Caenorhabditis elegans: one gene and its partners. The protein of the gene in region 1 interacts with the protein of each later gene in a biochemical or structural test. Each region holds a gene or a part of one and is shown on either strand. Other genes may lie near its edges.

Region 1 (8,401 bases):
GTTTAGCGTAGAGAAAATGAGACAGTGAGAGCAGCATCAACTCTACTGACTGAATAAACATTACGCACACGAGCCATTTTTCCATACTCTTTTCCTGGACAGTGAGGGGAGAAGAACATAAACACACAAACAAAGTTTTGTGACAAAAGTAGCATAATTCAGTTTTTGTTAGTTTATAAAAAATTTGATTTAGAGACTTAGGTGGCAATGCAGAAAACGTAAATAAATGTAAAGAAAAATGAAAATTTTGGAACTGCTAACGCTGCAGTATACAATCAGAGAAAATTGTTTACGAAGTTTTTTCATTTTATTTTAATCTGAATTTCATTGAAATAGCGTTATTGTATCTAAGAAAAAGTATTTTGTTCATTGGCAGTTTAAAAAAAATTTTTTAAAAATGAAAAAGTTGCCAAAAATTTTCAGAAGTCTGCAAATTCGTCCGGTTGCCGCATTGCTCGAAGTATGTACTTCAGTCAAAATTTCAGTCAAAATTAAACTTTTTGAATACTGTTTCTCAAGTGGTGAAAACTGTTTGCGGCATTTATTGAGACATCTCAATCACTGTCGGATGCCCGTACAATGTTAGAGTATAAATATTGTAACCATAATTAAAATATAAAACTAGAAAATAAAAACTTGTTTTTTTTAATAGATCACTTCAAAATATTTGGAAAAAACTGAATTTTCCGCGTTTTGACTCGAAATAAAAATTTCTCGTAACGCGTAATTAATAATCGTTAAGTTAAGTTAAATCAATCAAATCAAAAACCGCTTCTCTTTACACCCTCCAAGCAATGATTATGGCCTACATATGCCCAACAAAGATTTCAAATAAAACATGAAAATAAAACCTCGATTATATCAATTTTTCTACTTTTTGCTAGTTGCGTGCTCACCAAAACCTTGTATTTTTCATTATAGCAATGGATAAACGATAAATAATTCCCATTACGCAACGTTTCATGTTAATATGATATTGATGAAATGTTGCGTTTTTACTACAAGACAATATGAATTGTGACATGAAATAATTCAATTTGTCATATTTTCATTCATATTTTCTCAAGGAGTCTGACTTGAATATTAAAAAAAAACAACGGAAACAATGTTGAAATGAATTTCATTCTGAAGTATATAAATTAAATGTTATGTGTTTCTTACAAAACAGTTCAGAATTTAAACAAACGCGTAATTATGCAGGGTTGTTCTTATCTGAAACCGCATCTGTTGACCGATTATAAATGTGTTCCCGGCATTAAAAGATATTTAGTTGCAACTCTGGACAACTGTCGTTTGTGTTTCAAATGGTTTGCCATCTGCTGAAAAAAATTTGTTTCGGAACATCTGCAGGGGCTAGTTACCTTGATTGATTTGCACTTGATCATTTCCGTTTTTGTCTTTTGAAATAGAATAACTATTGGCCTCGAAGCTCATTCCATCTAGCATATCTTCCGTGACAATTTCAGATTGCAATGCGTATCTTCAAAATTTTAGTTAAATTTTAGTTGGTGTATATTAGATGTTTGTTATAAAATCTTAAGCTCACTTTGAGTATCCCCGTTTTGTCAAAAAATCCTCCAAAGCTCCATGCATTATTTTTGGTTTGCTCTCAGCAACCCTGCAAACTAAAATTTTTGTGTCAAAGAAGATCTATCGAATATTATTCTTATCTAATTAGATTAGAACGATGTGATATTTTGCTAATAGACACTTGTCGACAAGAAATGTAGAGATATTAGTGAAAAACCGCAAGCCAGTGGTGAATGTTCAATATTCAAGTCAGAACAAAATTCTAAATGACTAGAAATGAGCCCGAAAAGGAAAATAAGAGAGTGTGGAAAAGTGGTAGATGAAAATAAAAAAATGTGGCGAAGAATTTGAAAACATGTATCCAATGGAGATGGAAGAAAGAGAAACAGAGCCCAAAACAAAGAAAAAAAGAGGAAAGGGATATGAATTGGTCACTTAGCAGTGCCAGATGTGAATATCCTAATGGTAGAGGATCGGGTTAGGTGACAATGTTTGAAAAAGAGGGTAAGTGGAAGACAGGCGCGCCGATAATGAGTTATGATATGAGTTGTCTATGCCTTTACTCAACCCACACAAACACCCCCGTTAATTAATGAGTGAATCATTTTAAATTTAAACTTGATACGGTTCACTTTTAAATGATAATAATCAACTTTTATCTCATCTGAGGTACTTTTTTGTACTTGGAACAGTTTTTAAAACATTATTTTCTTGGGTCACTCAAAACAGTCCAACGAATAAAATTGGTTTAGCAATAATTGACCGCACGGGAAAGCAATATTTTTACTTGGAAGTTGAAGTGTATTGCCAGATGAACTAGTGGAAAATACTCTGTAGCTTAACCGTTTATTTTTGAAAAAAAAAACCGCTGGAATTTTGTGAAGAAAAAATAGAATTCAAACTTCCATCAAAACTGATTTTCAAAAAAAACAAAAGCTGAAAACTGCTTCTTCTCTTTAAATAATTTCGATTTTAATCTCTAATTTTTGAATAAAAAAAAATTACATTTAGCAGAGTTTCGAAACAGAGCAGATGTTTATAATTGAATCGGGGCAAGTGAGCTTTTTTTGAGTAATAGGTTTATTTTAAATTCAGAATATGAAAGAAATACGAATTACTGGGATTGAATTAAAGAATTATTTCCTTTTTCAAGAAGTGAGTGGAAAAAAATAGGGGCAACGAGTAGAAGTTTCTTGATAAAAAGTGTGAAAAATGAAAACAAGAGAAAATAAAATATATATTTGTTGTTAGAATTATCATGTTATCAGAAATTTGGCATTAGTAATGTATCAATGATGATGATGGTCTGCATCTCCGATTTCAGTGTTGCTCGTGTAAACAAACCACGATTTCACCTGAAATATAATTGGAGTAATCAAAGTTATTGGCAAGAGGCCAGATGTCAATCAGTTGTGTTTACAATTGTAAATCAAAGACTATTTACCTCATTATTCGTGTTTCTGATTGATGTATTGGTATGGATGGTGGTATCGAAGAAGTCAATTTCAGCAATAACTGCTCCTCTTTCATGAGTTGCTCCACGAGCGTAGATCTGTAAAAAATAATTTACAGTTTCTAGTTTATCGGTGACATAGAAGTAGTATTCAGTTTTGCGCCGTTTGAAAAAAAACAATTTTTTTTTTCTACAAGTTAACACTGTTTTCAAAGCAAATCAACTTGAATTTGTGAATTCTAGGATCCTGAATGCTATTATATAAGAACTGATAAACTACACTAGAAAAAGCATAACCTTCAAGCTATCCTTGGGTGCAAGGATCAATCCAACTGGAAGATCAACATATACGCTCTTGTTTCCAAACTCGTGAATAAGTTTGAAGCCACCAACGTCTGCCGATTTTTTCGAGCTTCTATTTACAAGTTGAACAAAATCTGCAGTCACATCCTGTAAGAATTGTTCAGTCCTAATAATATTAAAAAGCAAAGAGTGTTACCGAAATCTTCACTCTCCCCTTGTACCATCTAGTGAATCTCTGGAAGTTGTCCTCGTCAACACTATCGGAACCTGGAATGCGTTTCTTTGTATTTTTTTATAAATATTTTTCTAGCGTGATAGTTCTCTCAACTGTCGTTACATAATACACGTAACAGTAAACTTTTAATCGTAAACGTTATTTTACGATTCGTTTGTGGTGGTTGTGTACGTTTGTCTTATCAGTAACTCTTTTTTCAAACTAATCTGGAAAAAACTAAAATGGTATGATACGATAGTTTTCGACAGCTTAAAAACGTCTCAAAGCTTAGCATTTGACGAGGTGTTGTCAGTCAATATTAAAAGCCGTCTTCCACTCACTACTGCTATGTTCAATTGATCCTTCATTGAGTAGAGTAGTGGAGATGCTATTGCTCACTGAGCCTGTTGCTGCATGATAGCTCGAATGATGTGGCCCTCTTTGGCTCGAGTTCCGATTAAAAGTATCGTAGTATGAGGGGACAGTAGCTCCTTCAGTCACTGGCGTAATTAGCGGGAAGTTGCTATTAATATGAGTGTAACCGGGAGCACGTTCATTAAAAATTGTAGGCTCAACTCGAGGAACGGCACCACCAATTGGATAAGGTTGATGTAAAGCATCGTTGCGACGAATTTCACTATCACGACGTTCGCTTGCAATCCTATCATTGACCGATGAAGTTGGAGTACGAGACGCGTATGGATTGTTAATCTGTGTTGTGTTAATCTGACCTCCCGCGCTAAGGTCTCTCACTAATCGGGTGTTATCTGAAGCACGAATTGTTTCAACCGAATGGCTTGGCAGAACCGGAAGTGTGCCTTGGAGAGTCTCGATTTGAATTCTCTCCCTGAGAGAAGATCGGCTATCAGCACGAGACTCCTGCTGGTACGGAGTATATGATGGACGAATCGGGCTCGCGTCCCTCGAATAAGTATATTCACGAATTGGTTGAACAGGAAGTGTAGCAGGAATTGGAATTGGCGTGTGAGTGATGGTCTCATGAATAGTGGTACCAGTTCTGGACGACGAGGAATCTCTCACAGCGTGATGAGCAGTGTGCTGAACTATTCCAGAAGAAGTTCGGCTATGGTGGTCAGAAATGCTGCTGTAGTTCTGTCGACTAAGCGCGCTTGCTATAACTTGAGTACTTGGCGCATTTGCACGAGGATCTCCAGATCTGTCGAGAAGTTCCCGATATTTTGCGATTTCCTTTTGCAAGTCCTGAAAACGTTAACAATTTAATAAACACACAAAATAATACAACATACAATGTTTAAGTCACAAAGTTTCTCCAATTCAACACTGATGGCAGTGCATTGCTCTCTCATCTTCTCAATTTCCTTTATTTTGAATTCCAAAGTATCCTCGAAAAGCTTGTTATTTTCCGAAATTTCCAGACGATAGAATTCAATTTGTTGAGTGAGAGAATTGTTCTGAAAATTACACAATCATCATGGAAAATAATTTCAAATTCTCACTCTGATTTCAACTTCAGAAACTTGTTTCTGCAATCCAGAAAGATTGTTCTTAACAATCGAAAGCTCCTCTCTCAGTTTGTCATAGCAAACTACTCCTGGCATAGTGGTATTCATTCGATGGATTTCCCTTTCCAAGCGAATTCGAATTTCTTCTTCGTTTCTCAATCTGTTAGCCTCATAATCAGCACGAATATCAGCAATTGCCTTGCGAAGTTGATCGCGGAAGACGTGACGATCCGCATTGCGATCACGAACAAAGTATTTGTGCTCATTCATGATAATCTTTTTGTTGTCTTCCTCCATATTTCGGATACTGTGCAACAACTCATTCTTGCGAAGAAGATATTCTTGTTGCAGACTGACAGCTTGATCTTTTCTCTGAATATAGAGAATTCACAGTCGATAATGAATAAGATAATGAGTCAAACTTCTTAACTGTGTTGACAAAAAATTTAGCTTATCACAAGGAACCTCGCGTTTTTTGAGAGGCAGTGCAAGTCTTTCATGACATTCACGCTACTAACTGAAAAACAGAAAACTTGAGCCAGCTAAGTTTTTTGTATGTTTTTTTTTTTTAACAGATAGTTTTTGGCTCAAAATTATATTTAGCATTACAATCATTATTTCCGTGTTGGGCGAAATGAAAACAAATCATTTCGAAAAAATAAAAAAATAAGTTTTTGAAAAAAAAAATTTATATATGTACCTACTGAATATATTTCAACAATCAAAATACCAGTGTGATTTAAATCTATCCCAAAAAACTGATATCCGAAAAGTTCTTATGAGTTTTTTTTCCAAATCTATCAAATTGAACCTCTATTGTTTTTGCATGTATTAACAGTCTTTTAAAAAATCGAACCCACCATTCTCATCAAATTAATATGCTCAAAAATTCTTCCATTGTTCTGTTTGATCAGTCTGAGCTTATCCTCCATATACTTGATTCTTCTCTTAGTGATACAATCTTCCATCTTGATATGACAGATTCTATGGAACTCATCATCAACCTCTTTGGGAACCCCCAAAGCTGATTTTGCAGTGTGTCTCCAAAGTTGTTCGGCTTCTTTGACTTGATGGGACAACTGGGTTTGCTCATTTAGTAGTTCGTGCCGGCTTCGGTTAATTTCTTCAATTCCCGATCTGACAGTCTGAAAAACAATGATAATATTGATACATCGTATGAATTAATTGTATACTTCAAATTGTTTTTAATCAGAAGTTTCATTTTTTACAGCTGACCAGAATGATAGTATGTTTGCTATCAATAGTAGGCGGCTTGCACGTTTCTAGTTGCCACTCCCTTTATTCTCTAATGATAATTAAAGAAATGAATTCTTCGGAAACAAACGATCGTAAAGATTATTGTTTGTAGTTAACGCGACACGCAAGCAAAGGAAATTATCGTACTCTACGAAAGAGCACAACTTCAATGTACTTTTAAGTCATTAAAACTGTAGGCTTCGTTTCTTTTAACGAGTAAACAAGTTCATCGCCGCTAAAACTTGTGTGAGGGAAACTGATGGTTTCAGCCCACACAGAAAGTAAATAGTGAAAACTGATAGCGCACAAAGAACAAGAATGCTGGAAGCGTGAATAAGACAGCTGCAACAATTGACACTCACCCTGATCTCAACATTGTAAATTTCATTAATTCCACTACTGTCGCTCTGGACTCCACTTTTTAGCAAATTGTAGTCGTGTTCCAAAGCAGTGTGCTCAGCTTCCATATAGTGGACCTGAAAATATTAAATATTTTGTTTTACAGTACATAGAAGAGATGATAGGCAATAACACAAACTCACATGTTCGATGATATCCACAAACTGATCGTTGAGCTGAACAAGGTCTTGTCGCTCAGAGAGCTTAGCTCTTGCCAGATGTAGTAGACAATCCCTAGCGTTAGCGGAATCCATGCGCTGAAACAGTAACCATAAGACCAGAAAGCAAGAAAATTCTAAAAGCAAAATGAAAAATTATAAAAGTGCGACTTGAAAGGACAAAAAATTGCAGAATAAGCAGAAAATAATCGAGTGCGTAAAACTTCTTATCAAAACTTGAAAAGGTGAATTAAAAAATGCAATAGGTGTACGAGCACGAGTGAAAACCGCGAATTTTCACAGTCGTGATGACAGGAAACCGAATCGACTCTTGGAAAATGTTTAATGGCATGCCATTGTGATAGTAAAGTAGGTGAAGAATGCTAGTGAGCATGTTTCACTCGGTTGGCGGTACTTTAGCACGTTTCTTATCACTATTAAAATAAAGAGCTATTTGAAGCGAGAGATAGATGAATCAAGAGGGAGAAGACATTTGTGTGGTCTATGGAGATGAGGGGGAGAGACTGATGCACCGATGTGGAGCAATCAAACTGTACTAACAATGGTGTAATTGTTGTAGGAGGTGGAAATGATTCATTGCAAGTTGCAAATATTAATTTACAGGATAATGTTTTTTACATTTCAGGAAGTTCGAGAAACTGAGTCATTTGTTAAAATACTTTTTATTTAGAAACTCAGTAATTTCTCCAACCTATTGAATTGAAGCTCTGGGCTTCAATTCAGCCCATTTCCGATTTGTTTTAAACATAATCAACTTACCTGGTTAATTGAGAGAACTCATGTAGAAACCATATATTTATTAAAAACAAATTCATCTTCACATTCAGCCGTATAATTGGCCAAAGAATAAATTTTACAAAAAATTTGCTAATGAAAATTTTTTCGCACGCAAAAAAAAAACAGTTATGCCGCTTTAGCTCCTCGAATTCAAAATGCTCCTTTTTCAAATTTGTTTCTATTTTTAATGATACTTCCATAAGTCTAAAAAATAAAAACGTGTGGAATATTTTTTAATTTTAAGCTTAGAAAATAGCCATTTCTAAGCCCAACGAAGAATGATGCGTACCACGTTTATATTGAAAGGAGAAATTAATGAAAGCTCAATTTAAATTTTAAATGAGGGCATACATAAAACACACAAGTACCGATTTTTTAATGTTCAATAGCTTTTGTTTTTTTGTTTTTCCAATGTGAAAACTGCATTTTCTATTGGTAATTTGTGAATCATAGTTACTTTACGCAAAATAACTGATAAGGAATCCTTGAACTGCTCAGGACTTCTCTATTAAAAGAATCAGCAAGGAAAAAATTCCCTGTTTCTTTCTTTTTTCTTTACTGTATTCTTGTATTGAATATATTCAAAAAGTGCGACAACTATGACGCCCACTTGCTTCTTTTCCGGTTTTCGTTTTGTTCATCATCACTCTTCGAGCTCTGAGATCAAAAACACGCCTGGAAGAAAGAACAAAATTAGTATTCCTCAACGAGTACAAATGCCTTTCCAGTTGGTACGCACATTTCTTGGGTAAATGTCGTTTGCTCCTAAACAATTGTCGGAAATTTTTTTGTGTTCAGTGTGATC
Region 2 (7,847 bases), 4.8 Mb from region 1:
GTTTTTTATTAAAAAAATCAAAAGTTTTAAATTCCAATTTTTTATCATATATCTTTGTTCATTATCATTTCATTTTTTGAAAACTGGCACCCAACTTTTTGAAAAGTAAAGTACTAACGGAAACACAAAGACGGCCCCCCGGAAAAGTACAAATCATTGTCAACAAAAGACTGCTTCTATTTGATTTTTTCACGTTCGGTACATGGTTCTCGATAACCTCCCGGTGTTGACCGCTTCAGTTGATTGCAGAATGAAAAAAAACTTGTCTGTCATTTGTTCAATCGTTCTCTCTCTCTCTTTCTTACTCTCTATCTTTTTTGAAAATTGTCCCCTTAACGTTATCTAAGCCATTTAAAGTTTAAATCAGTTTTACTTTTATTTATAGATGATTTTAGTTTGGCCACTCCCCGCGGTGAACCATTTTTCGTCACTTTCAATTTTATTTTATTTTTCAGTTTTTAAAAAAATACAATCAAAAATGTGATTTTTGAAAAAGAAAAAAATACATATTACGTCAATTTGAATTCGGCAACTATATTTTTAGAAATCTAGCAGTGTTGCAAATTTTGTGTCACACTATCTCACATCCTCCTCCGGTTTTTGGTTGAAAATAGTATGAAAGACCGCCCACGCGACCTGACCGGATAGTTCATCGTCATCCGACCATGTCTTCTAGTATATAATCTCATTTCAGACTACATGTCAGTCATGGAGAAAAAGAATATCACGATGGGCGCCGCCACTATCCCACAGAAAGACGATTTTGATTGTTTCAAAAGGTGAGTCTTTGGTGATCTGATTGGTTGTGCCTTACTCCCAATTGAAGAAATTTCAGAGCCGACGTGAAAAAGTTGTCGGAAACGATGAATCAACAAGAAGTCGCCGAGTATCTTGTGCAGGAGGAAGAGCTTCGTCAACTGCTTAAGCAACAGAAAAATTTGCGAGCAATTCTGAAGCCGATGATCGCTGCAAACTGGCCGCAACAATACCAACTTGAGCTCAAGAAATCGCACAAGCTGAAGGCTTCGCTAGCAGCTACAAAAGAAGCAATCAACAAGACTAGAAGGTAAGATCTTTGAACTTTGAACTATGCCAGACAAAAGAGACCCCGGAAATTATGATGATCATATCGATCCACGTGATTGTGACCACGTCGTCCTTTATCTATTGACATTGAGAGTGTTCGGCTGATTGCCTTATCAAGGACGTCACGTCGACCAAATGTATTCAAAATTCTGCAACTTGGACCACAAAATTGACAAACGAAATGCACTTTAGAAGAACTGTTTGTTTAATTGTTTTTTTAAATTTCAGTGACATCTTGCGCGTCGAAGAAACCGAAAAAGACTTGATGAAGAAGTTGGCCGAGTTCAAGAAGCAAGATGAGAATGGAGATGAGAATTCAGAAGTCTTGGAGACATCTTTCGACTTGGGATGTTCAGGGACCTCCACCCCACTAACTGTCATTGCCTGAGCTCCTTACTTTCAAAATTTTAGCGTTCATGTTATCTGTGTATTTTTGTCGATCCACGTGTCAAGCTATCGGCTTTATCCCACTTCAGTTATTTCAAGTTTTTCCCTCTCACAAACCCCCACTCAAGAATTGGCTTCATTCCTTACCGCATTATTCAATCATCAGACTCTGGAAAGTTTACATTTTCCCACGAATCACTTTTTTCTGTATTTGTTTCTATATGTCATTTCTCCTTACTTTCCCTGTGCATTTACCCATTTCTATTCCCCCAGTTGTCCAACAAAAAGTTCCCAAAAAAATAACCAAGCAAACTGATCAGAAATAAAATAAGCAGTTTATAGTTTACAAATGTTAATTGATGGAAAAAGCACATGGTAAAGCAATGGAAATGTTAGAGAGTTAGCCAAAAAATGAAAGGCTTTTCGTATGATATGAAACGAAAATCAATGTTTCACTTTGGCGGTTCAAAACAGTATTGGTTTATTCTGAAAATCCGAACATTTATAGGAATGGCTAACGGTGAGAACAAATGTATCTTGGGTCAAGATTCGATCAAACATTAAAAGTAGAGAGTTGAGGCAAGCGAGAGTAATTCCGGGTTCAATAGGATTTAATTGGTTGATGCAATTAGGTGTGTGAAGCACGTTGGCTGTGGGAAGCACGGTCCTGAAACAAGATAAATAACGTTTCCAGTCAGTTCCAGCGCGCATAATTTATTGACGCTTACCTCTCCTTCTTTGTTGTAGAGAGTAGTAACGACGTCGTTTCCGGTGCCGAACGAGTCTTCGAGGTCGTACACAAGACTATCGGGTGGGGAATGAACTCCCTGCCCACGTGCGAAAATTTTCACGCTCTTTTGAGCACGAAGGGTGAACTCGCGCGGGAAGGTGAACACGATTTCGCGTTTTCCGGCAATCTTCCGACGGAGTTTCCAGTCTCCGATGTTCTCATCACGTCTTGAGATGTTCTCCAGTACAATGTACTTTCCAGATGGCTCGGCTTCCTGAAAATGGTGGATTTTTTTCTTGCAAAAATGAAAAATCGAAAACACTGTTTTCAGAAATTTGGGCACGGCCACTTTAAGGAAAGTTTTTGTTCAGCATGATCCGACATATATTTGGTTTTGCACAGGACTAGGTTCTGAGTGAGCAGCGAACCCGGTTAATGTCGGATCATGCAAAATCGTCACACCAGGCACATATTTCTAAATTTTGTGCACGGCCATTTTGAAGAATAGTCATTTTCTGAAGTGTTCAGTGGAAATTGCAGGCAAAAACTCGCTCAAAAAATGTCCATGATTGCTTTCAAAATTTTGCTATAATTGTTTTTTTCAGAATATACATCAATTTTTGGGATGTAATTTCCACTCACCTGAATTGCAATATTTCCTTTTGCTGATCTGGAATACGACGAATGACTAGTCGTTTCACCTTTGAGAACTCGAAGACTCTCTGCAACAAAACACAAAAACTGATATAAATTTGCAACTAACAATGCCTCGTGACACCTATTACTCCTATTAATCTTACCGTGCGGCTTTCTGCGAATTTTATCACCGACAAGGTAATGGGTATGGGGAACGTCGTCAAAAGTGATAGTCTCGTATTGAGAACAATGAATTTCTGGCATGTTACTTTTTTGGGTTAAAGATGAAACAATGCTGTTCCAAATCAAAAGTAAAGCGATTAAATAGGAGTACTAAATTGACCAAGGTATATCAACAAGGGGACACACCCAGCGGTCTCTCTGGGCGGAAAACAATAATAAAGTTACGTTACACAGTTTGGTGACCGCATGACTTGAAAACTTGAAACAAGTTATCAGTGGACGTATACTTTAAATTTTAACCGTAATTTGTGGTCATCGTAACGTGAAGTAAACATTGAGTATACGCGAACCTACCAATTTCCTTGGTTTGATGAATAGATGTTGTCTTAACAACCTGCTCGACGAGCTGACGTAGACCTGCGCGATTCTCTTCTCCATCAAGCATCTTACGGTAGATCACAATTTCAGCATCGAGAGTCTGTTTTGTATCAATGAGCATTTGAAGCTCAACCATCAGGATCTTGCTCTCGTCACGAAGTTTGTTGATCGATGTGTCCTTATCGTTCAGTGATTGTTCATATGATCTCATATCCTCTTCCATCTGGTAGTTGAGGTCTTCGATTTGTTTTTCGAGGAGAAGATTCTGAAATGTTGACAAATAATATCAGATGTATATAGTCATCAAAACGAACTCTTCCTTCTAGATCCGCCATCTTTCCACGCATATCACCAAGTGTTGTGCGGAGTCTCTTAACTTCCTCGCGAGCATAATTCTGCTCCAAGCAGTTGCGAGAATTTTGAGTGTGAATTTCTTGAACCTTCAGCTTGTACCAAGACTCGATGTCAGTACGGGTAGTGTTGCTCACCTGTAATTCAAGTCTCTATTTTTTACCTCTTTTAATGACTTTTCTCACATGATCATATTCGCTTCTGATCTCACGAATAGCAGAGGATAACTCATTCTTGAAATATTCGCGGTTTTCCACCGTAGTATCACGAGATGCCATAGCGAGAAGATCGTGGATTTCCTGAAAAAGACACTCGTTGAAAGCTGTACTAATTGTTTTTCATACCGAATCATGAATTCTGCGAATGAAATCACACTCCTCCAGTAGTGTCTGCACTTGATTTTGATAATCGATGCGGTTCAGAGTTTCTTGTTCCACAGCCTGAAAGCTGTACATATAAATTAAGTTTTCTACTGAAACTTACATTTCTGGCATGATGAAGTGAGTCGATCATACGATGATTTTCGCGCTTCAAATGACCGATGCTTTCTTCCATCAGAGAAATTCTTCTTTTCAATAGCTCAATCTCGGCTTCCAATGCTCCAAGTCTTCCGAGCACATTGTCAAGCTCTTTACGTGTAACGTCAGCACCTCTTTCAGCCTCATGAAGTTTGTTTCTATAGTTGTTCAGCTCTTCAACAAGTTTCTTAATTTGATCTTCTAGCTGAGCTCTTTCTTTGTCAGAATCGGCGATCAGGTCTTTCGCACTCTGAACAGAATTTAAAGTTTCTCAGATTTTGCTGTATATAATATTCATTCACTTACTCTGAGCTCAGTCTCATACATAACTTTAACACTTGTAGAATCGTGTCCCCATTTTCCACGGAGCAAATTCAAGTCCTTCTCCATCTTGCGATTTTGAGCCTCCAAGAATCGAACTTTCTCAATGTAGCTCGCCAGGCGGTCATTGAGTTCACTCATTTCTTTTTTCTCGCGAGTACGAGATTCACGAATGGCAGAGGCGGCATGGCCTCCGAATGGAGACATGCCTGATGTTAGATTAGATCCACCGATCTCTGTGATCTTGAGTGTGCGGCTAGTTCCAGAAGCTGAAATTTGAATTTTTGGAAGTCAGTTTTTGTAGTTTGAAGTAGTTTTTAAACGTGTATCAGAACTGAAAAATAACACTTGACAAACATGACCATAAAACAAAAAAAATTTGTAGGTTTTCCAGAGGAATCAATTCATTAATGTTAATAATTTTTTAACACTTTTTAAATTTTTATTTTTAACTTTACAGTCAAAAAAGTTCACTTAATCATTTTTCACCAATCATAATTTTGGTAGTGAGACAATAAAACATTCCACAAGTTTTTTCTTTTAATTGAATTTTAATTGATTTTATTTGTACATTTTGAAAGTTCAGATCAGCAAAAATGTTCAAAACTTCTCAAAAGGTCAGGGTTGTTGTTTGAACGTTTGGCATATTGCCAATTGAATATTGTAAAACATAAATTAAAACATTTGGAGGGTTTAATTTTAATATAAATCATATAATACATCATATAATACAATTTTAAAGACAAAGTACTGCTCATATTCAAAATATTCATCTGAAAACTCACAAATAGTACTTCCATAGGTGGCGGTGGATTGCATTGTTCTGTTAAACGTTGGTCGAACCGAAATTGAGCTTCGGTATTCGCTCTCCGACATTTCCTACAAACATGGAAACTTAAATAGTTTTCAATTAATTGCATTTTCATAATCGAAAATTAAAAAAAAAACACAGCGAACTATTTTTCGATGAAAAAGTGTAGAAAAGTTACCTCATAGTAAATGACGTTATACATATGTGACAAGAATATGAGTGAATATGACACAGATTAGAGATGGATCGTTTGTAGGACACAATGACAATGCGCGAGATCTATTAGCTGTTTCGAGAGCCCTAACTCTTGACAGAACAAAAAACCGTGTTACAAATTGGCGCGCGCACTATTTATTTTGACGGGACTTGGCATGCGTGGAAAGAGGATGCCTAGGAGGGTTTACTCCTAATTGTCTGTATAGTCAAATTATAGAAGGAAAAAACCAGGCATGAAACAGAAAATGAAACAGAAACTAAAAACTGGGAGAGTGTAACGGTTCATCGAGCTATTGACGAACGCGCACTGACCGCTATTCAAAAGCGGACGGCGGTGGCGACGGCGATTCGGTGACCGATTACTAGATGCTAGCTGCCGTCATGGCGTGTTTATACACAATGCTACTGTTTCACAACGTTTCCATATTCATGAGTATTAAAGGATCGTAAACACCTTATATTATTCTGAATTGTTTTGGTTGTGAAGGGATGACAAAAGATAAGCACGTCAAAACTAAAATCGAAAAATGGAAAAATTTTTAGTATGCGATAAGGGGAGGATAATGGGAATACAAATTGACAAAAATAAGTTCAGAGCATCGAAACTGCGTGTTCTAAAATTTAGGTGAAATGTTTACGACTTGTTAAAAATTCAATGTTCAAAAGGGTCTTAATCTATAATTCTGAAATTTATTTGATTGTGTCTATCTCAGAAACTATTAGCGTTGGGAAAAAGTTCAATAAATAAAATTTAGCTGATTATATTGTCTACAGGTTCAGATTGTTTCAAATCTGCACCCCGCGATCTCGTTCTTAGATAAATCGGCCGACATCTTACAAGTCAGCCTTTGATTATGGTTCGTGATTTACTTGTACAGCCAAAATAACAATTATTAATGAAATTGTTTGTATACAAGTTCATTTTAAAACTGCCAAAAAATTGAAGTTAAACATTTAAAATAAAAACAACACTGAAAAAAAAACTCACGGCAAACGGTCTTCTTTAAAACGGAATTTAAAATTAAAACTTCCCTTAAAATTCAAATCTACATAAAATGTTCTGAAACATAATGCTAAGATGTCTGTTGATTAATGAAACTTATGATTTGTATAAAATAAATTGCATTATCATCAGGAAAAGAGTCATTTTTTCAGTACATGCGAACTTTATTAATTAAGAAACTAGAAAAAAAAACAAACTTTCCTTTTTTGTTTTTAAGTATTATACTAACGTTTAAAAGGAAGGTTGCATTGGAAAAATAGAACCAGTGTCATTTTTAAAAAAGCTCAGTTACAGTACTCCCTTTTAAGGAGACCGTGTCGGACAAACAAACCGTAGGTGTTGCCTGAAATATATATGCAAAATAACACGGAGGCGGAGCTGTTGCCTTCATGTACACAAACGAAACTCGGCCTGTAAAATCAGGGAGAGAAGAAAAAATGGGCGAAAAGGGCGGATTGATAGCGGGTATCAAAACAAACATTTGCATTTTGAGAGTCTCTTTTTAAACATTTTTTTACTTTTTTGCTTTACAATTGCGGGAGGGGGAGGTAGGGAAATAACATATTTGTTGGGTAGTGCATATGAGTCAAAAATTGCACGCAGGTGAAATAGTAAAAATTGAATTTTGGTGAGATTTAAATGAAAATTAAACTAACAACACACGTATTACTAATTCAACAACGTTTATTTGAAATGGAAATTATTTCTTAATGCGTCTTTAGCTTTTAATTGGTATTTTCTACTTACACTGGCAATTTTGCAATTTTTGTAAAATGAGCAACGCCACATCGCAAACTATCCGTATAAAATGGCACAAGACCGAAATTCATAATAAAAGTGGTATTTTTTGTTGTATTTTCCAAGAACGTTGACTAAATTGCTTAATTCTTCTGGTGCATTTTGGTTAATCATAACGCGTTTTTATGTCAACTAATTATTTTTTAATTTTCAATTATCTAATTTTTCTAATTTTTATCTATCATTATAATTAATCTAATTTTTAATTAGTAAGGTATGTTTTCAATTGATATTTAATTAAACACAGGTATGCGTTGCAAATATGCTAAATTATTAATAATTCAATAAAACCTAATGTCCTAAAACACGTATAAGTTGGAGAATTTTAGCGAAATTTAGCCTTTTGTCAAATTTTCAATTATAAAAAGTGCACGAGAAGGTTTAGGAAAGTTACAGTACTAGTGATTTCATTCTATATACTCAAATACA
Region 3 (9,833 bases), on another chromosome or scaffold:
ACTTTTTGCGTATTCGGAAACAGGTGCACTTTTACCCCATCTCCATAATCCCCGTACCTGGTTGCGTAAGTCAATTAGCTAGAGAGCACTGTAAGCTTTACGAGAAGCAGATGCATTTGAGAGGGATAAGCTATTCACAATATTGATGGGATTAATCTAGATTAGCACTTTACAAGTCAATTGCTCTCATTTAAAAGATTAACCTTAACTAACCTTGCACTACCTTTCAGAAGAAAAATACGAAGACTCACAGGGACAACGGAGTTCACCAAGCTCTCCAACAGGTTCTGAAACTGTTGTAAGCACTTCTTCCCCACCTGAGCTCTCATCTGAATCAACACCAAATACCAGTGGCTCAGTGATTCCAACAAGTCCAGTTTTCAAACCAAATGGATACTCTTCAATGCCAATGTTCAATCCTGTGTATGGAAGACCATTCATGAGATTTCCGAGTAAGAGAGCTTATTCAATATTATTTCGTAAATTAAACTTATTTTCAGTGTTTTCAGTGATGCCGCATTTCTTCGGAACTCCATCAATGTCAGATTTCGCATCTGCTGCGAGCCTCGCAGCTCCACCAGCGTTCTTCTCAGCCCAGCCAACAATTGCCACGTCATCACCGAGCACAATTTTCCCACAAACTGCTCCATTGGATTACAGTCATCGTTTAATGAAAAATGAGGAAGCCGAAGAAGAATACCGAGAAAATGATAAAACATTTTGAGAAATTGAATATTTTTTCTTATCGTCAGAATCAGAGTTCCAATACTTTGTATATTTTTATATGGTCACATTTAAAATTGTATTTATGATTTGTCTTCAATTAAAAAAAACTAAACTGAATAAAAAATCTTATTAAAATTGAAAAAGAAGTAGAAAACATTGAATAGAAAGATTTTTCGGTGGAAAATGAGCGGGGGGAAACACTTGAAGTTTGAACGGGAAAAGCAGTGTATTATGAAAAGAATTGCAAACGTTTTTGTTCTTTTTTTGATGTTTTTTAAAATGAATTTCAGATTAGCGATTTTAAGTGAAGAGTCTTAAGCAAATCAATTCAATATTTTGGTCAGTTTTAGGCAGTTTCAATGAATCAATTTAAAGAAAAAATGTCGAGAAGGTCTATCATCAAGAATAATAAGAAAATTATGGACAGAAACTAGAGAACTTGAGTGATTTTGGGGAGTTGTTTAAAAGAGAAAAAGTTGTTTAAAAATAATGAGAGCTTATTGTCCGGATTGGATGGTCTTCTGGGTGTGTGTTGCACGCTCCTCTCCATCCTTGTTCACCAATGACGTCACAACATTGGCTCCGATTCCCCAGGTGTTCTCTCCATCGAAGACAAGAGACTCTGGTGGGTTGTTGATGCCTCCTTGGTCACGGGCGTAGATCTGGAAATTTATTGGAATTGGAATATTCTCTTTTCGAAATTATGTAGATTAGTTTCTCAGCAAATGCGAGAAACCCTTAGACTAACCCGAAACGATTAAATTTCATAATGAGACCTCTCAGAAAATGTTTCCAAATTTCTTATGGTGGCTCAAAACTTGGGGAAAACATTTTCAAATTTCTAAAACCTGTAACTCTGATAAAGAGCATTAGAGAAATAACAACTGATTTTCCGATATTGCTACATGGACAATCTCACAAAATTTCAGATTTTAGCAAAATTTGGCCATTCCCTTTCAAAATTTTTTTTTTGGAAATTTTCAGGTGAAAGTACGTTTTTAACGGGCTTCAGACTATGTTGGCTGGGTTTCTCAAAAATATAGTGGCAGACTAAAAAAATACTAAGAATATTTACATAGCTACACACTTTTTTCTAAAACAATGATAAAAATAACTTACGGTCAAGTTCTTTCCTGGCTTGATAACAACATTGGCTGGAATGGAATAGACAATTTCGCGTCTTCCATCCAACTTTCTTCTGATTTTGTGCTCACCAACATTCTCATCCTGAAATAAAATTTTCAACATTTCAAAACCAAAAAGCTTCAACATACCTTGTTTCTGTGCGAGTTCTCAAGCTTGATGAACTTTCCATTTGGATCACACTCGGAAATTGTCACATTTCCCTTGGCGGATCTTTGGAAGGTGGTCTTGGTGGATACCTCACCGCGAACTGATCTTGTCGAATCAGTGTTTTCTTGTTGTTGGAGAGAATGCGTCTTGACGGCTTGCTCAACCATTTGGGTGAGTCCGACTCTGCAAATATATTTTTGAAACTTTTGAGAAAGGTTTTAGAACAAAATGATAACAAAACTGCCCAAAATTTGGCTTGCTGGGAATATTGATTAAATAACGATAATAATTACCTGGTCTCTTCTCCCTCGAGCATTTTTCTGTAGATGGCAATTTCGGCGTCAAGCATTTGCTTGGTATCCAAAAGAGCTTGAAGCTCAGCAACCAATGTTTGGCATTCCTCACGCATTCTTCTCAATGTAGCATCTCTGTCGTTGAGGGCAGCTTCGTATTGTCTTTGATCGTCGGTCAATTGGTAGTTCAAGTTCTGAACTTCCTTCTCCAAAAGTGAGTTCTTGTTCTCCAAATCTCCCAATTTTCCGCGGAGATCTCCAATGTTGTCTCTCATTCTCTTGACCTCATCCCTCTGGTAGGTGGACTCCATATTGGCACGGTTGGCAGATCCTTGAACCTCGGAAACCTTGAGCTTGTACCAGGACTCCATGTCTTGCTTTCCTTGCTTGGCAATGATATCATACTCATCTTTGATATCACGGATGGCAAGAGCCAATTCGTTTTTGAAGAACTCTCTGGTGTCAGCTGGAGCCTGAGCAAGGAGAGCTTGAAGTTCCTTAACCTCTTGTTCGTGAACTCTTCTCAAGAATTCGAGCTCCTCCATCAAAGTCTGCACTTGATTTTGGAAGTCAATTCTGCCAATGGTCTCATCATCAAGATCGCTTCTGGCCTTCTGAAGTTCTTCCCAGATTCTCGAGTTGTCAGCTGTAACACGCTTCTCCTCATCTGTCAATTGCTTGAAACGAGCACGGAGCATCTCAACTTCGGATTGAGCATCAGCGATAGCATTGGTCCATTGGGAGATCTTCTCGCGATCGGACTCACGGCGTTGCTGGATATCTTCGTATCTGAATAAATATTGATAAGCAACAGAAAATTAAGAATAAATAAACCTGGATCTGTACTCAGCCAAGTCGTCACGGTGTCTGGCAACTTTCACATCAACCTCTGCCTTTCTACGAGCAGCATCGTCAATGTCCTTACGAGCTGTTGAGAGGGATTCGGAGTATTTGATCTGAAATTAACAATTTGAATAGGAAAGAAGCTTTAAGAAGTTTGTTCCAAAATATAGGTTGAAATTTTAAAAAAACACTGGACAGGAAGCGCACAGATTTTCTTCTGGTAAGTTGAAGATTTTAAGGATGTTTGAGAGAATTCTCTAATATAGTAAATAAAATCTTGAAAGTTTCGAATATATATCTAAATAGAAATTACTGATTCACAATCAAATAATAAATGTTTTTTCTACAACTACTTCAGTTTTTTGCTTGCAGAAGCTTGCTTAAAATTTATTTGAAATTCACTAAAATACCTTAATCTCGGATGTGTCTTTTCCCCATTTTCCGCGAAGCTCATCCAAATCAGCAACCAATTTACGGTTCTGCTCTTCGAGTTTCTTGACACGATCAATGTAATTTCCGAGACGATCATTGAGTCCCTGCAGTGTCTTCTTTTCCTTATCAGTCGCCTCAAGGAACGATTTTGCTGCGTTTGCGGACAAGGCCGGTGAAATTCCTCCGACTGTAGCTGATCCCATCTCTGTCACCATCTTTAGCACGCGTCCTGAACGTTTTTATAATGATAATTAGGAGATTAGATTTGATTTGAGTGTTTTTATATTTCTATTGGGAATTTATATTTCGATATTCTTCTATTCTTACCTCCTGACATTGGTGCCTGTGGCGCTGATTCAGCCTCCATTTCTGATGTGTTTTAGCTTGAAATTTTAAAGTTTTTCTAGAAGATTAAGGGAAAAAAAATAATGAGGAACAAGTTCGAAAATTTCTGAATGAAAAATGAAAAACAAATGGTATAGAAACTAAATGTAAGTGTCACAAACACTATGCAAAATAACGGAAACCGTCGACCAATTCTGACCCTCTTCTGAATACTCCACCCAACGAAGAAATAGCATTAAATTTGTGGAGAACTTAGAGAAAAAGAATGAAGGTGTGTCAATGGTTTTGCCTTCCCGATCATCACCGATGATAGAAAATGGAGAAAGAGAAGAAGATATAATGGTGATAAGTTGAAGACAACGGACATGTACACATACGTACAGATTGCGAGTTGACTGTGCCTATGAATGAATGGATAAATTGGAAGAAAAGTGGAAAGAGATCAAGACACTACTTACTTAGAAATTGAAGATGAAGAATACGTCAAGGTTGTTGTGGGCGGAGTCAACTAAAGATAATCATCTTGATCAGATCTCAATCATTCATTTTTGTTATCTTTTTTAAATTGCGGGGAAGCTAATTAATTTAACTAGGATTCCATTTTTGACATTTTTTGGTAAGGGAGATATTTTTGTTTCAGAAACTAAATCTAATGGTAGGAAGGCTTATTTTTAGGCCAACGTACCTGTTTTATTTTTGTCAATTTGATAGAAATTCAATTAAGAAAAACATCATTTCCAGTCCTCAAAAATGTTTTTAAGTTTAAGAATCTTGAAACACGGGCCGCAAAAATTGACTTATCTCAAGTTAGAACAAAATTGGTTAAAAAATTAGTTTTGACAACTTAAATGTAAGATGGGACATTTCTAATTGAAAAAAAAAACTCTACACCATCTTGCAATAAATCGGAGAAATCCGAGATTCTATCCGAGAAGATCTCATAAATCAAGTGATAATCAGTATAATAAGTTCTTGTCACTGTTCCACCCAATTCTCACTCATTAAAACTAAATGACTAATCACACATAAAAAATGGGTGTTTTCCATGTCTCAGTTTCTCATCATTCAAAATAGTCACATCTTGGGTGTGGTCATTCCTTCCTTTCTCACCTATTTCTCATCTATTTCGTAACTGTATTCTAAATTAAAAGTTATTCAGGGGATTCTTTTAATTTTAATTCGTTACCCAAAAAAAAACAAAATTAAAATAAATGATGAATAAAATCAATAAAAGCTCGGATTTCTTCAAAGTCCGTCAAGTTTTCAAGTGTGTTGAGCAGTCAGCCGGCTGGCGGAAAGTGTGCCCAAGAAACAACAAACTAAACATTTTGTTGACTTAATCGGCTCAATGTATCTTTTTATACATGTTATCTCAACTGGTTACGAAAATTGAAATATTGTATTTAAAACTGTCTGAAATTTTGGTGCCTCTTTCAATCTGTTATTTGCTTTTTGCATTTTATTTCCAAAAATGTTGCCATTTTTATGTATATGCATAGTTGAAGACTATTTGCCTAACAACTCTTTCTGTCATGCACTATAAACTTGATGGAACTTGAACTTTTAAATTCAATAGATTTTTGGTTTGAAAATGAAGGGCGTTCCTCAGTGATTATGCTAATTGTGAGACTGTATCGAGAGACGAGAAAACCCAGAGATTTATGGGATTTTTTGGATGAGAAAAAGTGGATTTAATGACGGTTGAATAGGAAACGATATGGGCTGCCGGAAAAAAATCTTGTGGTCTTATATTTTGATCTTGATCTCCAGATTTGCTTAAAACAATAAAAAAGAACAATTTTTCTTTTGTTATGGTAATGCCTGCCTATTTTCTATTTTCACAGTGAGTTAACTTGCTCAAAGAACAACTAAAAATTACAAACATAAAAGATAACTTGTGTTTAGGCAGCAGATACGTGCGTAGGCTTACGGCAAGTTATAAGAAGCTAATACTATGTAGTAAGTTTACGTACCTAAATCTCTGACTTAACAAACAATTTTCAATTTCAAATTTTTACTGTTAAAAACTGTTTTTAGCTTTTAATTAAATATATTTCGACTGCAGTTTTTGAAGTTTTAATTATCCTGACATTTTATGCTAAAATTGCCAATTTCAAATTTTCCCCATTTTTGCCTCAAAACTCCAAAAATATTAATATTTGTTTAATTTTTGAGGAATTCCCCCATTTATTCACAGAAATTTCACTTCATAAAAACCTGTTTCTAGATTTTTGTTAAACTATGAAAAAGTGTGGTTTCTTGCCAAGTGAGCAAATATTAAGAAAACTCATTAAATTAAAAATTGCATTTAAAGGCATAAAGTATTACTTTTTATCTTTTAACTTTTATAATTTCGAAAATAATTGATTTTAAGTGATATTTTTAAGCAGAAGATTTTGGATCAACTCCGAGTAGAAAAAATGTAAAATCCCTGCTCAAAATATTATCCTCTACCAAACTGTTCACCTTTCTCAAAAACGTTTCGTTTAGCCAAGAACAAATCAACGCGTTCGCACTGATAACGACTCTTGCTCTCTTTTTCTCGTTTTTATATTTTCTTTTCATCCTCCAGGTCTATATTTCCATCCTCATTTCTATTGTATAGCACAGCAAAAACCAATATTTACTTCATCTTCCAATTGATTAATAAAACCACCCAAACTATTTTTTTGCAATCGGATGAACGAGAGAGAGAGAGAGAGAATAAAGTGTTCGGTTCGATTGATGCGACTGTTCACTAATTCGCTTTGAATTCAAATACATAATTATGGATGGGTAGTAGACGGATAAACATGTAAACAGAGAAATAGAGAAAGAAAGGAAAAAAGAATATTGGAATATTGGTTCAGTTAATAGTTGATCGGATGTATAGTGTCAACTTGAATTAAGGTCATCTATAAGACCGGTCCAGGAGAAAAATAGCTTGAAGGTTTACTACTTTTGAAAAAATAAAAGTATATTCTGAAACTCTCAATCTAACAGGAAAGTATAGAAAATACGTTGGAAATTGAGTGATCTCTGAAGCTTAGACTTCAGTAGGAAATTTTTTTAAAAGATATATAACTATCCGGATTTCAAATCAAGAATTTGAAACAAGAAATGCTCCTGGTATTGATGATTATTTTCAGAGGAAAGGATATAGTAATAGCTGAAATTTTTTTTAATCTTTACCGTTTTCAACTTTAAATTTTTTTAAAATCTAACTAACCTCCGGATCCTGCTCCATTTCCACCAGACACGTAGTTTCCAGACTGACGTGATTGAGAGCGAACCGCTGTTCTTGGCTGGATGGTGGATCTGTATTGCATCTCGTACTCGGAAGATTCCTTGTGAGACGACATCTTCTTTCAGAAGTTTGACGCTACCTGAAATTTTTTTTTTGAAAATATAGAAGCTGAATTGGGAAAATACAGAAAACTGAGCAAAAAGTAACAATTACAAATTTTAATAAAAAGTGTTAAACCTTAAAACAACAATATGATAAAAAAAAATGTTTCTGCATCCTTCGGCATCCAATTTGTTCCTTATCAAAACCCAAATAAGCGTGGCCGGTTTTCAACAAACATACACACTCATATATATGTTCAACATTTTTTTGAGTACACTCCACAAAAAAACAGAAAACAAATAAGGTGGAGGAGGAGTGACTGAACACGCCCATTTTTGTTCATGGAAATCAGAATTGAATATGGGTGGAAGGACATGATGGTGAGTCAACGTTAACCTGTCAAACAAATTGAAACACCCAAGCACATTCCGGAGAATTGTTAGATGGAAGAACAATAGAGATTGAATTTCTCGCGCATTGTGCAGGGAAATTTGCAAGAATTGGGTGGAAAATGACGAGAAAATGATGGAAGTTAAATGATTTTATTCATGATTTTTTTAAAAGATTATCTTGATTTTTTTTTATTTCTGCAGACTACAGTAAATGCTTCTTATAATTGTTTTTTTCGAGCAACGTGAAATGATCGCAAAATAATAAAAACCTTCTAGGTAGGCACGAAACCTACTAGAATTCACAGGAAAAATAGGATGCAACCAAGTACGAAAGCCGGCAAAAAGGAATGATTTCATGCCTATCTCCTTTAAAGACTTAATTGTTCAGATCTGAAAAACTTTCTAAAAAAAGTGGGACAGCGAAATTTATGTTGCATTTTGTTTCGTAAAGTTTTCAACTTTTATGAATGATTTTGAAAATGAATTGCTGTTTTTTTTTTAATTTTAGTATTCATATTTTCATACCTAAAGCTTGTTGACTCAAACTTAAAATCATAATAAAACTAGCAAAAGATGTGAAGAAACATGTGGGTGTTCAGTGAGTCATAAAGTTGGAAATTTATTGAGTAATTGTATGACCAAGTTCTAATTGACACTACTTGAAATCCTAAACCATTCGGTTACTCATTCACGATAGTTTAGAAAGCTTAAAGTAACTTTGGGGTGGAGTGAATAAAAGTAGAAAAAGACACAGTGCTCCTGCTCTGCTCGGAGTAAAAAAGTGAAGCGAAAAAAATGAAATCGGAAAGACACACACACACAAGCATTCCTACAGAATACCGAAAGGGTATTGTGAGGACGGTCTGTTGCGCCGGGGGTCGATGAGGCAGAGGCCCTGAGAAGCGCCCCCACCAATTGCTCCGCCCCCATTTTGTTGCCGAACCGTCGAAAAACGAGCTGCTATTTGCGTTCCTCCTTCTTTTTTCTCTCTGCGCGCTTCACTTTTTGAAATGATGCGCTTGGCGTATAGGCGTATTCCGAGAGAATTTAGAAGAGATGACGACTACTTTTACCTCATAGGAAGTGGCCGATTATCACAGTCAAGGACAAGAGAGAAATGATTTGAAATGGAAAAATGAGGAGATGTTAGTGAGGGAATTGGAAGAGGGGGAGAATAAGACATTGTTAACATTTTGTTTTCATTTATGGGTGAGAATGATGACAAGATTGGAGGTACAAGTGATCAAATAGTTCTACGAAAATGTTCCGTGCTGGCTAAGGTTTTGCATTTTTAATGTTGGGCTGTGGTAAAAAAATTAAGAACTCATTGTCAGTAAACAAGTTTTGTAAACATTGAAACCTGTAAAAAAATAGTTTAAAATTATCGCCGTCCAGTACTAAAGCTGAGGCATACCGTATTTTCCCTACAAAGTCTGCACCACAATTACTCTACTTTGACGGCCTATTTTCCAATTGTCTCAAGTGTTATCAAAAAATTCTCTACAACCAAAATATAGAGACATATTTGGTACATATTTGGTAGTTGACAATTTATTGATAAAATTTAAAGCAACCGAGATATATTCTGCCAAAGTAGAACCAGAAGATACAAGTCTAATAGGAAGAATACGGTAAGTTGAGGCCAATTTCTAATCTCGAGGCAAATGTGAAAACTAGCATGCACAAATATGCCTACCCGCCTATCTACAGGTACGACTCTGCTTGCAAGAGAGATAGGCAAGGAGGTAGGTAGGAAGGTAAGTAAGTCTACTGGTAGGCGGGTAGGCATCATGCGCTCATTTAGCATTGAAAAATTATAGCCGATATGATAGCTTTCTTCCCGGCTAAGTGGGTAGGTCTCAATGCGCCTGTATGCAGGCGGGTGAGCTTTTTGAATGAATAGAAGGCTACATAACGTTGACCCATCTAATAATACAATAACGAACAAATTTTGAAATTCAGAAAGGAATAAATCCAATTTCAATTAATCATCTACAGACTCTACAGACTAGGAACTATCGCTCTTGTTGTTCTGCCTTTTTTTTACTGATTTTTTTTGGTGCAGTTTGAACCTCTACCAATTAATACTATGAGTCTACTGGTTTTCAATAGATGGTTTCGATGAAAAAAAGAAAGAGAAAAATGAAACTGATGGATTAGGCATAGTTCTCAGTTTTATGT

Evidence for each region.
Region 2: the proteins of ifp-1 (region 1) and ifa-4 form a complex in vitro, tested with the Caenorhabditis elegans proteins (one study listed by BioGRID).
Region 3: the proteins of ifp-1 (region 1) and ifb-1 form a complex in vitro, tested with the Caenorhabditis elegans proteins (one study listed by BioGRID).

What each region holds. Positions count from the first base shown.
Region 1 is NC_003284.9:9,673,273-9,681,673, forward strand, and holds ifp-1 (Intermediate filament protein ifp-1), read right to left. Parts: upstream 6,898-8,401; 5' UTR 6,895-6,897; coding exon 6,784-6,894; intron 6,718-6,783; coding exon 6,604-6,717; intron 6,130-6,603; coding exon 5,845-6,129; intron 5,357-5,844; coding exon 4,979-5,356; intron 4,934-4,978; coding exon 4,769-4,933; intron 4,722-4,768; coding exon 3,842-4,721; intron 3,554-3,841; coding exon 3,483-3,553; intron 3,434-3,482; coding exon 3,281-3,433; intron 3,083-3,280; coding exon 2,975-3,082; intron 2,886-2,974; coding exon 2,820-2,885; 3' UTR 2,601-2,819; downstream 1-2,600. Other genes in the region: C43C3.4 (Penicillin-binding protein), read right to left, coding at 1,267-1,319, 1,362-1,480, 1,547-1,593. UniProt on the Caenorhabditis elegans protein: Cytoplasmic intermediate filaments provide mechanical strength to cells. Not essential protein.
Region 2 is NC_003284.9:4,910,511-4,918,357, forward strand, and holds ifa-4 (Intermediate filament protein ifa-4), read right to left. Parts: upstream 5,470-7,847; 5' UTR 5,467-5,469; coding exon 5,376-5,466; intron 4,860-5,375; coding exon 4,576-4,859; intron 4,520-4,575; coding exon 4,235-4,519; intron 4,192-4,234; coding exon 4,096-4,191; intron 4,051-4,095; coding exon 3,937-4,050; intron 3,889-3,936; coding exon 3,715-3,888; intron 3,666-3,714; coding exon 3,377-3,665; intron 2,926-3,376; coding exon 2,846-2,925; intron 2,478-2,845; coding exon 2,202-2,477; intron 2,141-2,201; coding exon 2,102-2,140; 3' UTR 1,798-2,101; downstream 1-1,797. Other genes in the region: K05B2.2 (Ras-associating domain-containing protein), read left to right, coding at 695-779, 836-1,066, 1,315-1,474.
Region 3 is NC_003280.10:5,763,082-5,772,914, reverse strand, and holds ifb-1 (Intermediate filament protein ifb-1), read right to left. Parts: upstream 7,298-9,833; 5' UTR 7,274-7,297; coding exon 7,141-7,273; intron 4,694-7,140; exon of another isoform or gene 4,570-4,693; intron 3,971-4,569; exon of another isoform or gene 3,955-3,970; coding exon of another isoform or gene 3,915-3,954; intron 3,817-3,914; coding exon 3,566-3,816; intron 3,269-3,565; coding exon 3,147-3,268; intron 3,102-3,146; coding exon 2,313-3,101; intron 2,203-2,312; coding exon 2,001-2,202; intron 1,954-2,000; coding exon 1,846-1,953; intron 1,389-1,845; coding exon 1,224-1,388; 3' UTR 831-1,223; downstream 1-830. Other genes in the region: Doublesex- and mab-3-related transcription factor dmd-5, read left to right, coding at 231-452, 501-724. UniProt on the Caenorhabditis elegans protein: Cytoplasmic intermediate filaments provide mechanical strength to cells. Essential protein, involved in attachment structures in epidermal cells that connect muscles to the external cuticle. Required in morphogenesis and epidermal integrity.